Linked DNA regions of Danio rerio. The main gene of each other region encodes a partner of the protein of the gene in region 3 in a complex. Links are inferred from orthologs where the notes say so. Each region holds a gene or a part of one and is shown on either strand. Other genes may lie near its edges.

Region 1 (4,302 bases), on a different chromosome or scaffold from region 3:
CGATTGGTCTAAATGATAACTTTAACATGTTATTCGCAATGGAAAGTTGGTGCAACTAACAGCAAACCTTAGGAGTGCTAATAATGACAGATTACCCTAATGTCATGATATAAGTCCTCTTGACGGGAGAAAGAAACCCCGTTTCTGGCCGGCATTCCTCTGTGTTGGTTTTTGTTACAGCTGCCAGTGCAAATTTACCCCTCCTCGTAGGCTTTGCTTGAAATAGGCTTATCTTTTGAGGAGCCTGATCAGTTGACAATAGCCCATTTAGATGTTAAAGCTGAGTGCTGCTCTTCTCATTTCTACAAAAGATAATTATTCCTTCAAATAAGTTACTTCAAGGCTGCTTTTAGCACTTCTGTAAAAAAAAAAGTGGCATAATAAGGCTTTGAATTATGAGGGGGAGAAAAACTGAGATTTTCGAGATACAACTGACAATAGACAAAGACGCACATGCCTGGAATGGTTAGGCTATAGGAGTACTGCGAAACAAAGGCGACGAGGGTCCGGTTGGAGAAAAGCTGATTTATATTTGAATGATTGGGACATCAGAAAGGGAAAATGTCTTTGGTGTATTGATAAGCTGCTCTTTTTAGCGCTCCCAAGTCTTGGGAGAAAGGTGCTATCTAAAGACTGTCAGAATGTCCTCTGGAGTCCTGCTGATATCTTTTGTCATAGCTGAATAAATCGTGACTAACAAGGCCAAGGGTGGATTAGCCACACAGGATTAAACAGGTTGTTGCTTGAGGTTTGTCTAACTACTGATTAATGTTTCCATAGGAAAACATGCGGCTCGCTACAATTCATCGGCAAACAATGCGCCGCTAATGACCGCTAATAATAGGCGAAAGATTTTGCTCGCTAACAAATGGCGAGCCGATGCTACGAGCTTGAAATGCACAGCAAGCGGTCGCAACAATTGAAGCTTTGAAAGCAAGAGGGCCGGGAGAGATGTAAACAATAAAAACAGTAGGAAAGAGTGGCAAATAACGCTCGGCGTACCGCCGCCATTATCAACGTTACACAATCGATGCACATGCCGCCTTCACAGTTACCTCAACTTCACCGTAGACTATCCCGATTGCCTCAACGGATCTGGTCTCGTGCTACGCAGTCTGCGGCATCCCCGGCCGCCATCTTTAAGCACAACTGGCTTTAGTTGGCGATGGTCCTCCCCTCCATCTTTCTTTATCCTCTTGCTTTCCACCCAGCCCCCCTTTGGTGCGCTATTTTGACATCATTCGCTGGATATCGACAGGCTCTCAGACGGCTCGGTCGGGAATCGGCGAGGACATGGAGCCCTCGCTGCTGTGCTTCACCCAATGGTGGATCCTCTGACCATGCTTGATTATCTCGAGACATATCCGCCGAGGACAAATATTCATCCCAGATCTGAGGCCTTTGATCTGATGAAGGCCCGATTTGAAAGCCCCCTCCAAAGAGCCCTTTAAAGACAGCGTTCCCTCAGATGTTCCAAGTAATGAGATTTGGAGTGCTATGATTAATCTAGGCCAATTTCATACACTGAGAGAGACACACACACACACATGAAAACACAAAGACATGGACATATGCATACTAGGAGCAATCGAATTAAGTTTACGCGACGAATCCTCCCATTCGCAAATTAACGGAAAAATAGATACCAGAAGCAAACAACAGCCCAGCTGGAGTTCTTTGATCGCGCTTTGGGAAGAAAAAGAAATGGATGTGAAGAGGCTTCAAGAATCATATTGAAAACTGCGGCGTTTTTTTCTCGCTTTCATTTGCCTGACGTTCACAGTCCATTCTTCGGCCGTTTATTGGCACTGCTAATGCTAATCTCGTTGACCAGCACATTTCACGGAGAAGACTCCAAGAACAATAATGTGAGTTAAGTCTCAAAATGGTTGATGCTCTCACCTGCCTCTCCTGCTGGGTGTCTCCTCCGCTGTGATTTCTGCCGTCCGCCATGACTGGGCGCAGTCGCCTACTTGCCACCCCGGAGTACTTTCTTTTACTCATGAATCTCTTTCTGTTTTCTTACAACTGTGTTGCTGAAAGATGTGCATCTTTACTTTATGTTGCAGCTTCAGCTCTGCAACCTGATTGGTGGACGCGAGGACCAGATGATAGACCTCGGAACCCTATTGTAACTATGGCAACAGACCCCACAGGCATGAGTGATGTGCTCCTAATTGCAAAGTAAACATCAGAAAAGCAACTGGATATCATCGGCCGAAAAAGTGTGACGATTACAGCCAAACGCAATGAGCTCTGAAAGGAAAACAAAACTGTTTGATATGCTGCCCATTCTGAGCGGGATGAAAAGGGAAGCACAAAGACCACAGAGTAGCGGTCCTTTTCAAACAGCGCTCAACGCCACTGCTGTTTGATGTTTGGGAGCATTTCATTCACCACAAGCAAACAACAACAGACTGACCACGGTGAAATACACATATACGCAGCGAGACGAGATGGAGAAAATCGGCGTAGGCAGATATGAGAGTGCTGGAAAGGAAAACGTCGAGAACCAAGAAGATGATATTGCCTTTGTTGGGTAATGTTATCAGCTGCTTACCTTTCATACGGATTTCACACTTGCTTGTCTAGTAGCAGCCAGGGTCAGACCCAGCAAACCCTTCCCACAATGACCGATTTTCCATTCTGGCGAGGATCCTTGGTATTGCCTGCCACTTGCATTTGCATTGGCGCCGCCACTCTCAAACAAATTTACCACACACACTTTGTCTTGTTTGCGGGACTTCACATCGTGCTGTCTTTGGGGCTTGCGTGGGCTAGTGGTGGACTCTCATTGAAAAGACAGTTTCGATTCCGCACGCCGCGCGTTCAAGAACAGCCATGTGACTAGTGAGAAAAGAAAGTCACTGCAAAATAGCAGCTGGCCATTAGTCTCAGTGGCCCCTCAGCACCCTGCGCTTGGGTTGGTGGGGTGACTCAGGTGGGGGTTTCTGGACTCAGGGAGGGAGAGATACATTATATACTCTTAGGAGTGAGTGCTTCTTGTTGTTTAGCAGTAGAAAATATGGTAGAAACTGAGCATTTGAACACGGAAGCTGTAGAAGATTACATATTTAAAGAGACATTTCTTTCAAAAGGAACACGAATGAGGGTAAACGAGAAAATAGCACATTTTTTTAAGGGATTTTGAGGGTTTATAAGTTTTTAAACATGAAATATACAATATTTAAATATTATAATCATGCTATTATGGGTATTTTTAAATACACTATCATTCAAAAGCTTTTATTGACATTTTCTAAACATTGAAATCAATTTTTTTTATAGCACAAGTGAATTAAATTAATTAAAAGTGAGTTATTTTACAACTGATTATGTCAAACTTTCTATTAAGCAGAGAATTCATCAATTTTAAGTAGCACAATATTAATAATTATTTGACGCTTGTTTTACGTTACATTTTAAGATACAGAGACATAAAAGAAGTCATAATGATATTGCTAATTACAGTTTTATTCTAAAATTGCACTAATTCATCTTAAATGTACATATCCACTGCACATATACTGTACGAGTGTAATTATGTTCATATCTATCTGCATACCTCTGATTATTAATAGCAACCTGTACATATATTCATCTACTGTAGAGAGACATTATATGCTCTTAGGAGTAGGTGCTTCTTGTTGTTTAGCAGTACAAAATACGGTATAAACTGAGCATTTGAAGACGTAAGCTGTAGAAGTTTACATATTTAAAGAGACATTTCTTTTTAAAAGGAACACGAAATCAGAGAATAACACATTTATTTGACAGATTTTGAGGGTTTATGAGTTTTTAAACATGAAATATACAATATTTAAATATTATAATTATGCTTTTATGGGTATTTTTAAATACACTATCATTCAAAAGCTTTTATTGATATTTTGAGATCAATATTTTTATACAGCACAAGTGAATTAAATTCAATAAAACTGAGTTAATGATACAAATGATTTCTATTGCAGAAAATCCATCAATTTGAAATAGCACAATATTCATAATAGTATGTTTGTATTGAATTACATTTTAAAATACGCAGACATAAAAGAAGTCATTTTTATTGCAATGATATTGCTAGTTTACAGTTTTACTCTAAAATTGCACTAATTCATCTTGAATTTAAATATCCTCTGCACAAATACAAGTGTAATTATGTTCATATCTATCTGCATACCACTGATTGTTTATAGCAGCCTGTACATATATTCATCTAATTGTAAATCTCTGTTCACAGTTAATACAACCTCTATATAATGTTTATAGTACACGTATCTGTAAATATCACCCTTAGTGTTT
Region 2 (3,652 bases), on a different chromosome or scaffold from region 3:
AAATAAATAAATAAAAATCACATGTACATAAGTATTCACAGCCTTTGCCTTGAAGCTCTAAATTGAGCTCAGATACATTCTGTTTCCATTGATCATTCGGTAACATGTTTTAGTTTCAGTTCGGCCATCTAAGCCGAGTTATTGGGGGAGAAGGGCCTTAGTCAGGGAGGTGATCAATAACCCGATGGTCACTCTGTCTGAGCTCCAGCGTTCTTCTGTGGACAGAGGAGAATCTAACAGAAGGACAACCTTCTGTGCAGCAATCCACCAATCAGGCCTATATGGTAGAGTGGCAAGATGGAAGCCACGCCCTGCCTGGAATTTGACAAAAGACTCTCAGACCATAAGAAACTAAATTTTCTGGTCTGATGGGACTAAAATTCGGTGAATGAGACTAATAAACTCAGTGAATGTCCTTGAGTGGCCCAGCCAGAGCCCAGACCTTAATCCTATTGAACATCTCTGGAGAGATCTGAAAATGACTGTACACAGTCGCTTCCCATCCAACCTGATAAAGTTGATAGGTACTGCAAAGAGAAACTGGTAAAAATTCCCAAATACAGTTGTGCCAAGCTTGTGGCAGCATATTCAAAAAGACTTAAGGCTGTAATTGCAAAATGTAATTGTAATATGCAAAGGCTGTGAATACTTATGTACATGTGATTCTTCAAGCTTTTTTATTTGTAATAAATTTGCAACAATTTCAAAAAATCTTTTTTTTTTCTACATTGTCATTATGGGGTATTGTGTGTATAATTTTAAGTAAATAAATTATTTATTCCATTTTGGAATTAGGCTGTAACATAAAAAATGTGGAAAAAGTGAAGCGCTATAAATACTTTCTGGATGCACTGTAATCATTGTGTCTATGTAATATCACTTTTTTCTGTGAGATGCTGATGGTCTAATCCAATTCAATGATTTATGCTAAGCTAAGCTAAAAGTGCTTTAGTCAGACAGAGATCGGCTGACTTCAAAAATAGTAAAACTCTTTACTGTTTACCTCTAGGGGACTTGTAAAAAGAGACTAATTCCAAAAAATGTGAAGTGCTTCTTTAAGGTAAAGTCATAAAGATATAAAAACATTTCTTAACTTCTTTTTTAGCAGTTACAACACTATGCTAGCATACTGACAATATTTGTAACATTTTTAACACAACAACGTGTGTTTAACTTTACTTATCATGCTGCTAACACATTTTATATGTTGCTATTATGTTTTAACATGTTGGCCAATATGGTGAAAATATGAATTTGCATGTTGTAAACTTTTCTAGCTTGTTGCTAACATTGATTAACATTGTTAATTGCTAACTATGTTAGCTAACATTGCTAACATTGATTGTCTTGGAAATTTGCTGTACAATTGTTTACGCACGTTTTGACACTGTTCATAATGAGATCAATGTGCTGTATATTTTTACCTTTTGAGAGCCACAAAATCATGAGTAAAAAAAAAAAAATCAACCCAACAAACAAACAAAAAAGTGATCAAATCGACTCAATCAATGCTCAATGCTTTGAGAATCATCTATTAGTCACAACTCAAGATAAGCTCCAGAACATCCAAGAGAAAGTAATCTCCCAAAGCTGATAGACTATAATCAGCTGATGTTGTCTGAGTGAGACCTCATTAAAAAATGAATGATGGAGAAACACCCTACTGTCAGTGTTGAGCATCCACCAGGAATGTTACCCAATCCCTTGCAGTATTAATGAGCAAGCACATAGCAGCACGACTAAGATGAAACGGTTTTTCCACTGGGTTGCGGTGACATAAGAAGGTGCTGAGCTCACCTGACTGGCAGCACCACCTGTGGCAGCAGACGATTCAGCGCCAAGGGGTCCCAGCAGGTGAGACGGCCTTTCCACTGGAGAGTTCCTGCGTCGATAGAACAGCACATAGGCGTAACGCGTCACCACCTGACTCTCCTCCACCGTCGTGACTGTGCTGTCATCAAACAAACGCCAGCCTGAAATAGCAGAAGACATGCAGAAATAGGCATTACATGACAGCCAAAGAGATGTTTTGAATTCAGAAGAGCTCAGACATACCAACATCACTAAGCTGGCTGTTCTTGTCGCTGGGAAGACGAGCATAGGCTGTGTAGTGTCCTCCAATCATTCCACCATAATGGTTGATGACAGCGTACAGATCATAGATTGGCGGCTGCTGGATGTCACCCTTATGACCAATACAAAACTTACTCAAGTCCAAGTTTCTAATAAGGAAAGGAAATTAAACAGGTTAAACATTATAACATTATTAGGTGGTTAAATCAAATTATACAACACACAAAACTAGGGAGTGACTATGATAATATTGCAATGGTGTTTTAATGATGTGTGAGCTGATATTATCCCGTATAACTTTGAAAAATAGATCATCTGAATGAATTATTCAGTGGAAGTTTTAGAAACATATTTACATGACAGGCATAAAGCAGCTAAATTTGGGATTTCGACTCTAAGCCAAATATCAAATTCTCTGGCTTTTCGGTTTGTTTCACTGACTTGAAAGCCGAATTACCATAACCTATAATGAATAGAAAACCAGTCAGCCATTCTGAGATTACTGAATTTAATCCAAAATCAAGTAAATGGCACAACATGTAGAGGAGCTTGTCATTTTTTACCTGATGCGGATTTTGACCAGCCAGGACACCGTTAAGATTTCTGCTGTGCCATATGCATTGTTATATATTAAATAACATTATATTCACGAATTGAAAGTGCAAATCTGGTGTGCTATATCTTGAGTTTTCATAGACATGGCACAACACTGCACTTCTCCTTAGGTCAGTGACTATGTATCATGTGACTTTATCACAACACTCATTCGGGCAAAGCCTATCTGAACAAAGCTACATTTGATGTATAATTCACAATTAGTTTTACATTTTAACATGCTTTTACTATTGCTAGATTTTAAGAGCCATTTATGTATCAAATAGGATTTAGTAGGCTTCAAATGGTTAAGAGGTAAATGCTTTCACTCTTTGTTTCTCTCAGTGATTTCTTTATATAAATTACAAAGACCAATTGTCAAAAAAGTTATAAGAACTATAATGTCTATATTTTCACAGCAAAACAAGAACTGACACAAATATTGCTGGACATTTTGAAAAACGCCACTGTAAATCTAAATTTTAAGATGCAAAATTAAAGAGGGACTGGGTAAGCACTGAGTAGACAAGACACAAGCACTGACTGTGTTTGAACAGGTACAGACTGGTGACTGCATTTGATTAACAGGTGGTAAGTGGGAAAGGAATTAAATGGCAGTGAAAAATAGCCTAACCATAATAATAGGTTAAACACGTGAAATAACGTCATAAAAAATACATTATAGAAAAAAAAAAGTATTATATTATATTATATTAGACGTTTTAACAAACCCCCTAATTTTTCGTGATTCTGCCATCGCTGAATCTAACGCAAAATCAAGTTGCCATATTGATAAATAAGACAGTTCACTTTTCTAAGTACAATGTTATTTCTGTCGTGAATAGTAGATACTTAATTGTGAAAGGGAAAATTTAAGCATTCAAACACCAGTGCAAGTGAAAGTCTACGAAACTTTGAGTAACTTTCAGTATACCTGACTGGAAAATCGACCATGTCATTAATCTTGTCCCTCCATATGAAACTC
Region 3 (3,652 bases):
TGTGCGGTAGAGTGACTTCGCAGCCCGATGAGGCGTACTTGCAGGGGAAAAGCACTGAGTTGGCCACTTTCTCCATTGCCAAATTACGGATCGACCCAAGCGGGCCTCTGCAGGTGGGGCAGCAGGTGAGTTTAGGCCGGCAGTTGCTACACACCAAATGGCCGCTCTGGCACTGCAGGATGGGCGGCAACACATAGTCGAAACAGACCGGGCACTCAAACAGGCTGGCGAGGTCACTGTTGGATGCTGTGGTGCCCGACAAAGTTGGAACGCGCTGAGAAGGGGGACACTTAGAGGTTCCTGTGGGCAGCGCTGTGGCAGTCTGGCGACTCATTTCTACAAGAGGAGACAGAGAAGAGAGTTAGACTGGCTAACACAGATGGCCAAAGGTAATGGATTTGCTTGCACTTACAAGGAACAACAATGAGCAGGGGTGTGTTTCCCAAACAATGAAGTATAACACGTAGCTAAACCACCACAGTACGAGGCATCATTTGGGAAATAAACTATGTAGTCACAAATGTTTTACAAACTCTGTTGGAGATTGTCTGAACCAGGTTAGGTAAATGCAAAACTTCCATGATGATCAAGGGGCAATTGCTTTATCTGAACAGATGCCACTGCTGCATTAAGAGTAGCATAAATGTTTTCATGCCCATTTCCACTGAGTGGTACAGTACGGTAAGGTTCAGTATGGGTCACCTTTAAGGCTCGTGTCTCTACTGCCAAAGAGTACCAATGGTACTCTTCTGGTGGACGTGGCGTTCGACAGAAACCTGCAGTCGACGTCATTCTTGATTGAATTCACATATCGTAGGAGAAGCACTCCTTACTAAACAAATGCTATTTAAACATATGTGTATTACTGCCTTTCTATGAACAGAATTTGATTAAAGCTGCAGATCAATGATAATGTGAAATAGCCTACTGTATCATCTGCGGTTGTATAAAATAAAACAGTTATGAACACATACAGACCCTTACAGTCTCTAAAATGTTACCAATTACAAATAAACAATTCCCCAAAACTTACATTTAGGCCTTATTTGTGTTCATAAACGATTAAAACAAATACAGTCAGTCCAAACCTCTCATCTTATTTTTCACCAGCACATGTAATGTTAACCTCTTGTAAAAAAGTCATTCCGGGTTCATAATAATCCAAAAGGTGATGATGATGGTTAAACATGGCAGATTGTTCATGTTTTACGTTGCTGAAAGAATCACTTGCTCCTGTTTTTTCAAGTTTCACTCTGGTGTTTGTCCGTTTCTGAAAGGATCAGATGTCAGAAGCACTTCAATAATGACGTGCACGTTATTATCATCATTAGCTCAAGAGGTTTATTTCAAATACAGACGCGCATGCGAGCTCTCTGGAGAAAGTGAAACCACTCGTGCTTTAGGCGACCTCGTAACTAACAGGACACATGTAGATTCTGCTCTTCTTCTTGGGTTTGTGGCTGTTCATTAAGATGAAGAAAAGGTTCGTTTCAGGTTCAGATTGTTATTGTTATTATTTGTATATATTTATCATGGTGTAATGTCTCAGCTATGTTTTTTGAAAATGGCGGTTCCTTTGTTTTTGTTCTCCTGGCTTGTGCACGCGCTAGTGACATTTCTCTGTAAACCAATAGCTTTAGCTGCATGTCTAGCTGTGATTTTTGGTACCCTTTTGTTGTGCTAGGTACCAATTTTTTGCTTTTGACAGTAGAAATGGCCATAAAAGTGTACTGGCACTTACTGTACCACTCAGTGGAAATGGGCCATTAGTGCACTAAGCAGAGACCACAATTGCCAGTCAGAGGATCGTTAAACTAAAACTAAAAAATTCTTCTGTCTGGAAATTACATCAAATGTGAACAAGAAAACTTTAAGCTTTCAAAATTACTCAAATTGGCTGACGTGTGTGGAATTAATAGGGTGATAACTCAGAAAATAACAGCAAGGAACTATGCTACCAACAGGCCTAGAGGTGTAGTTCCAATCACTAAAGATTGTGCTAGTTTGTGAATGTCCATAGGAAGAAGGAATTCAGGAAACACTGATCACACAGAAACACTGATCAGATGGCATCTAATGCACATGAGCACCTCTGTTTCCTCAACATGAATCAATAGACATTTTAAAACGTGGCCTCAGGATAAAAGGTACATCCAGATTCTGCTGATTCAAGCAGCATGAACTTCAAATAGAGCTATGAAAGAGTCTGAGCAGCGCAGTGTGCCTGGCAATGTCTCTTCTCCCTCAGTGGCTCAGATATAGCCATCTAGTGGCACCGATAAGTCAGACGTGGGGCTCTGGGGAAGCTATTTTTGGCATGAGTAAAATGCACAGATAGTCATGCATTGGCTTTTTTTCTTTAAAGCCAGACATGGAGAGTGGACTCAGAGGGCCAAGGCGCATGTCTGCTACAGGAGTGTTCCTATGGCAACAATCTGCAGAGCAAAGTGTAAATGTGTATGGGACGACCTGTGGAGAGAAGTATAGGATTTGCAATGGATGCAAGATAGGAGCGTGTGACCCAGCTGTAACACCCTACCGCTATATATAACCTACATCTACACAGCAATCAATAGGAGGCAAAAAAGTATCTGTAAATCAGCACAGGGGAGCAAATGAATAAGACTGATTGCTGATTTAACACTGACATCAATTAAGCGAGGAATAAAGAGACTATAAGAAAGGAGCAGCGTGGCAGGATCAGAGCGCAGTAAATCGTCTCGTGTGGGAGAACCAGGACCGTGCCAGAAAGCAGAGTGGGGGTGCGGACAGACAGTGAGCTGTGTGTGTATGTAGGTGGCTTAGAATCTGCTAGTAAACACATCTGCTCTGATAAAGCCCCAAGTATTTTTAGCCTCCTCACGGAGCAGCTCTCCGAGTATAACAACTGAGGCCAAAATTAGCCTGAGCACAACAGCTAGCACCACGTCCTCAATGCCTTTCTAGGCTTGTAGTCTAGGCTTGGTGGATTTGAAAGGTTAACAAACAAACATAGTTTTGCTTCCAAGTGTAGCACTGCTAACCATAAAAATGGATGTTGAACAAGATTTACACATGTTCCTGGATCAAGATTTTAGGGAGATGCAGAGGCATGTGTTGCATTATAATTTTACAAATGCATTTATCCAAAGTGACACTGTATTAAACAAATATATTTTTGTAAGTCCATAAAGACCAAAGCCATGGTATTTATGTTGCTAGAATAAAGTAAGATATGGTAAGATGTGTGGTTAAACACCCAGACAAAACCTCTATTTGTTTTATAACTGTAAAGAAACATTTTACAGGCGATCACATGTCTGGAGGAGCTCTGTACTGAAGCATTTAACTAAAACCACAAAGAAACACACTAGAACTAGTATAACAAAGTTCAAACTAGCCTACTTCTCTACTATTTAGTATGTGAAGTGCATAGTGCTTTCAAACGTGTAGTAATCGTAAAACAGTGGGGGAAAATTGCCAGAATGGTCTACTACTTTCACTGAGACTGTATTACACATGGAGGAATTTAAAGGTAAAAATGGCAAATATAGTAAATCAAAATTCCATTCATACAACTCGCATTTAAACTATACAAGTCTATAGTTCAATATTATGATCTAATGTTTATTTTGTGGTTTCAAAGAACATTGTTGAAAACAAAGCTGAAAAA

What was found.
Region 1: the proteins of siah1 (region 3) and axin1 are in contact, whole or in part, in a crystal structure (PDB 5WZZ), measured with the Homo sapiens proteins. The link is inferred for Danio rerio from reciprocal best matches to the Homo sapiens genes SIAH1 and AXIN1. Residues at the interface, in NP_003022.3 of Homo sapiens: Cys130, Pro131, Ser154, Thr156, Leu158, Asp162, Ile163, Val164, Phe165, Leu166, Ala167, Thr168, Asp169, Val176, Asp177, Trp178, Val179, Met180, Asn272; in NP_003493.1 of Homo sapiens: Pro378, Lys379, Glu380, Val381, Arg382, Val383, Glu384, Pro385, Gln386, Lys387.
Region 2: the proteins of siah1 (region 3) and usp19 are in contact, whole or in part, in a crystal structure (PDB 4X3G), measured with the Homo sapiens proteins. The link is inferred for Danio rerio from reciprocal best matches to the Homo sapiens genes SIAH1 and USP19. Residues at the interface, in NP_003022.3 of Homo sapiens: Cys130, Pro131, Thr156, Leu158, Gln159, Asp162, Ile163, Val164, Phe165, Leu166, Ala167, Thr168, Leu172, Val176, Asp177, Trp178, Val179, Met180, Asn276; in NP_006668.1 of Homo sapiens: Lys463, Pro464, Thr465, Cys466, Met467, Val468, Pro469, Pro470, Met471.

Annotation. Positions count from the first base shown.
Region 1 is NC_133178.1:42,753,872-42,758,173, forward strand, and holds the start of axin1 (axin-1), read right to left. Parts: upstream 2,850-4,302; 5' UTR 2,561-2,849; exon of another isoform or gene 2,070-2,560; intron 2,040-2,069; exon of another isoform or gene 1,903-2,039; intron 1,869-1,902; exon of another isoform or gene 1,142-1,868; intron 1-1,141. UniProt on the Homo sapiens protein: Component of the beta-catenin destruction complex required for regulating CTNNB1 levels through phosphorylation and ubiquitination, and modulating Wnt-signaling.
Region 2 is NC_133198.1:23,057,486-23,061,137, forward strand, and holds part of usp19 (ubiquitin carboxyl-terminal hydrolase 19), read right to left. Parts: coding exon 3,602-3,652; intron 2,223-3,601; coding exon 2,056-2,222; intron 1,974-2,055; coding exon 1,798-1,973; intron 1-1,797. UniProt on the Homo sapiens protein: Deubiquitinating enzyme that regulates the degradation of various proteins by removing ubiquitin moieties, thereby preventing their proteasomal degradation. Stabilizes RNF123, which promotes CDKN1B degradation and contributes to cell proliferation.
Region 3 is NC_133193.1:19,853,601-19,857,252, reverse strand, and holds part of siah1 (E3 ubiquitin-protein ligase Siah1), read right to left. Parts: intron 337-3,652; coding exon 1-336. UniProt on the Homo sapiens protein: E3 ubiquitin-protein ligase that mediates ubiquitination and subsequent proteasomal degradation of target proteins.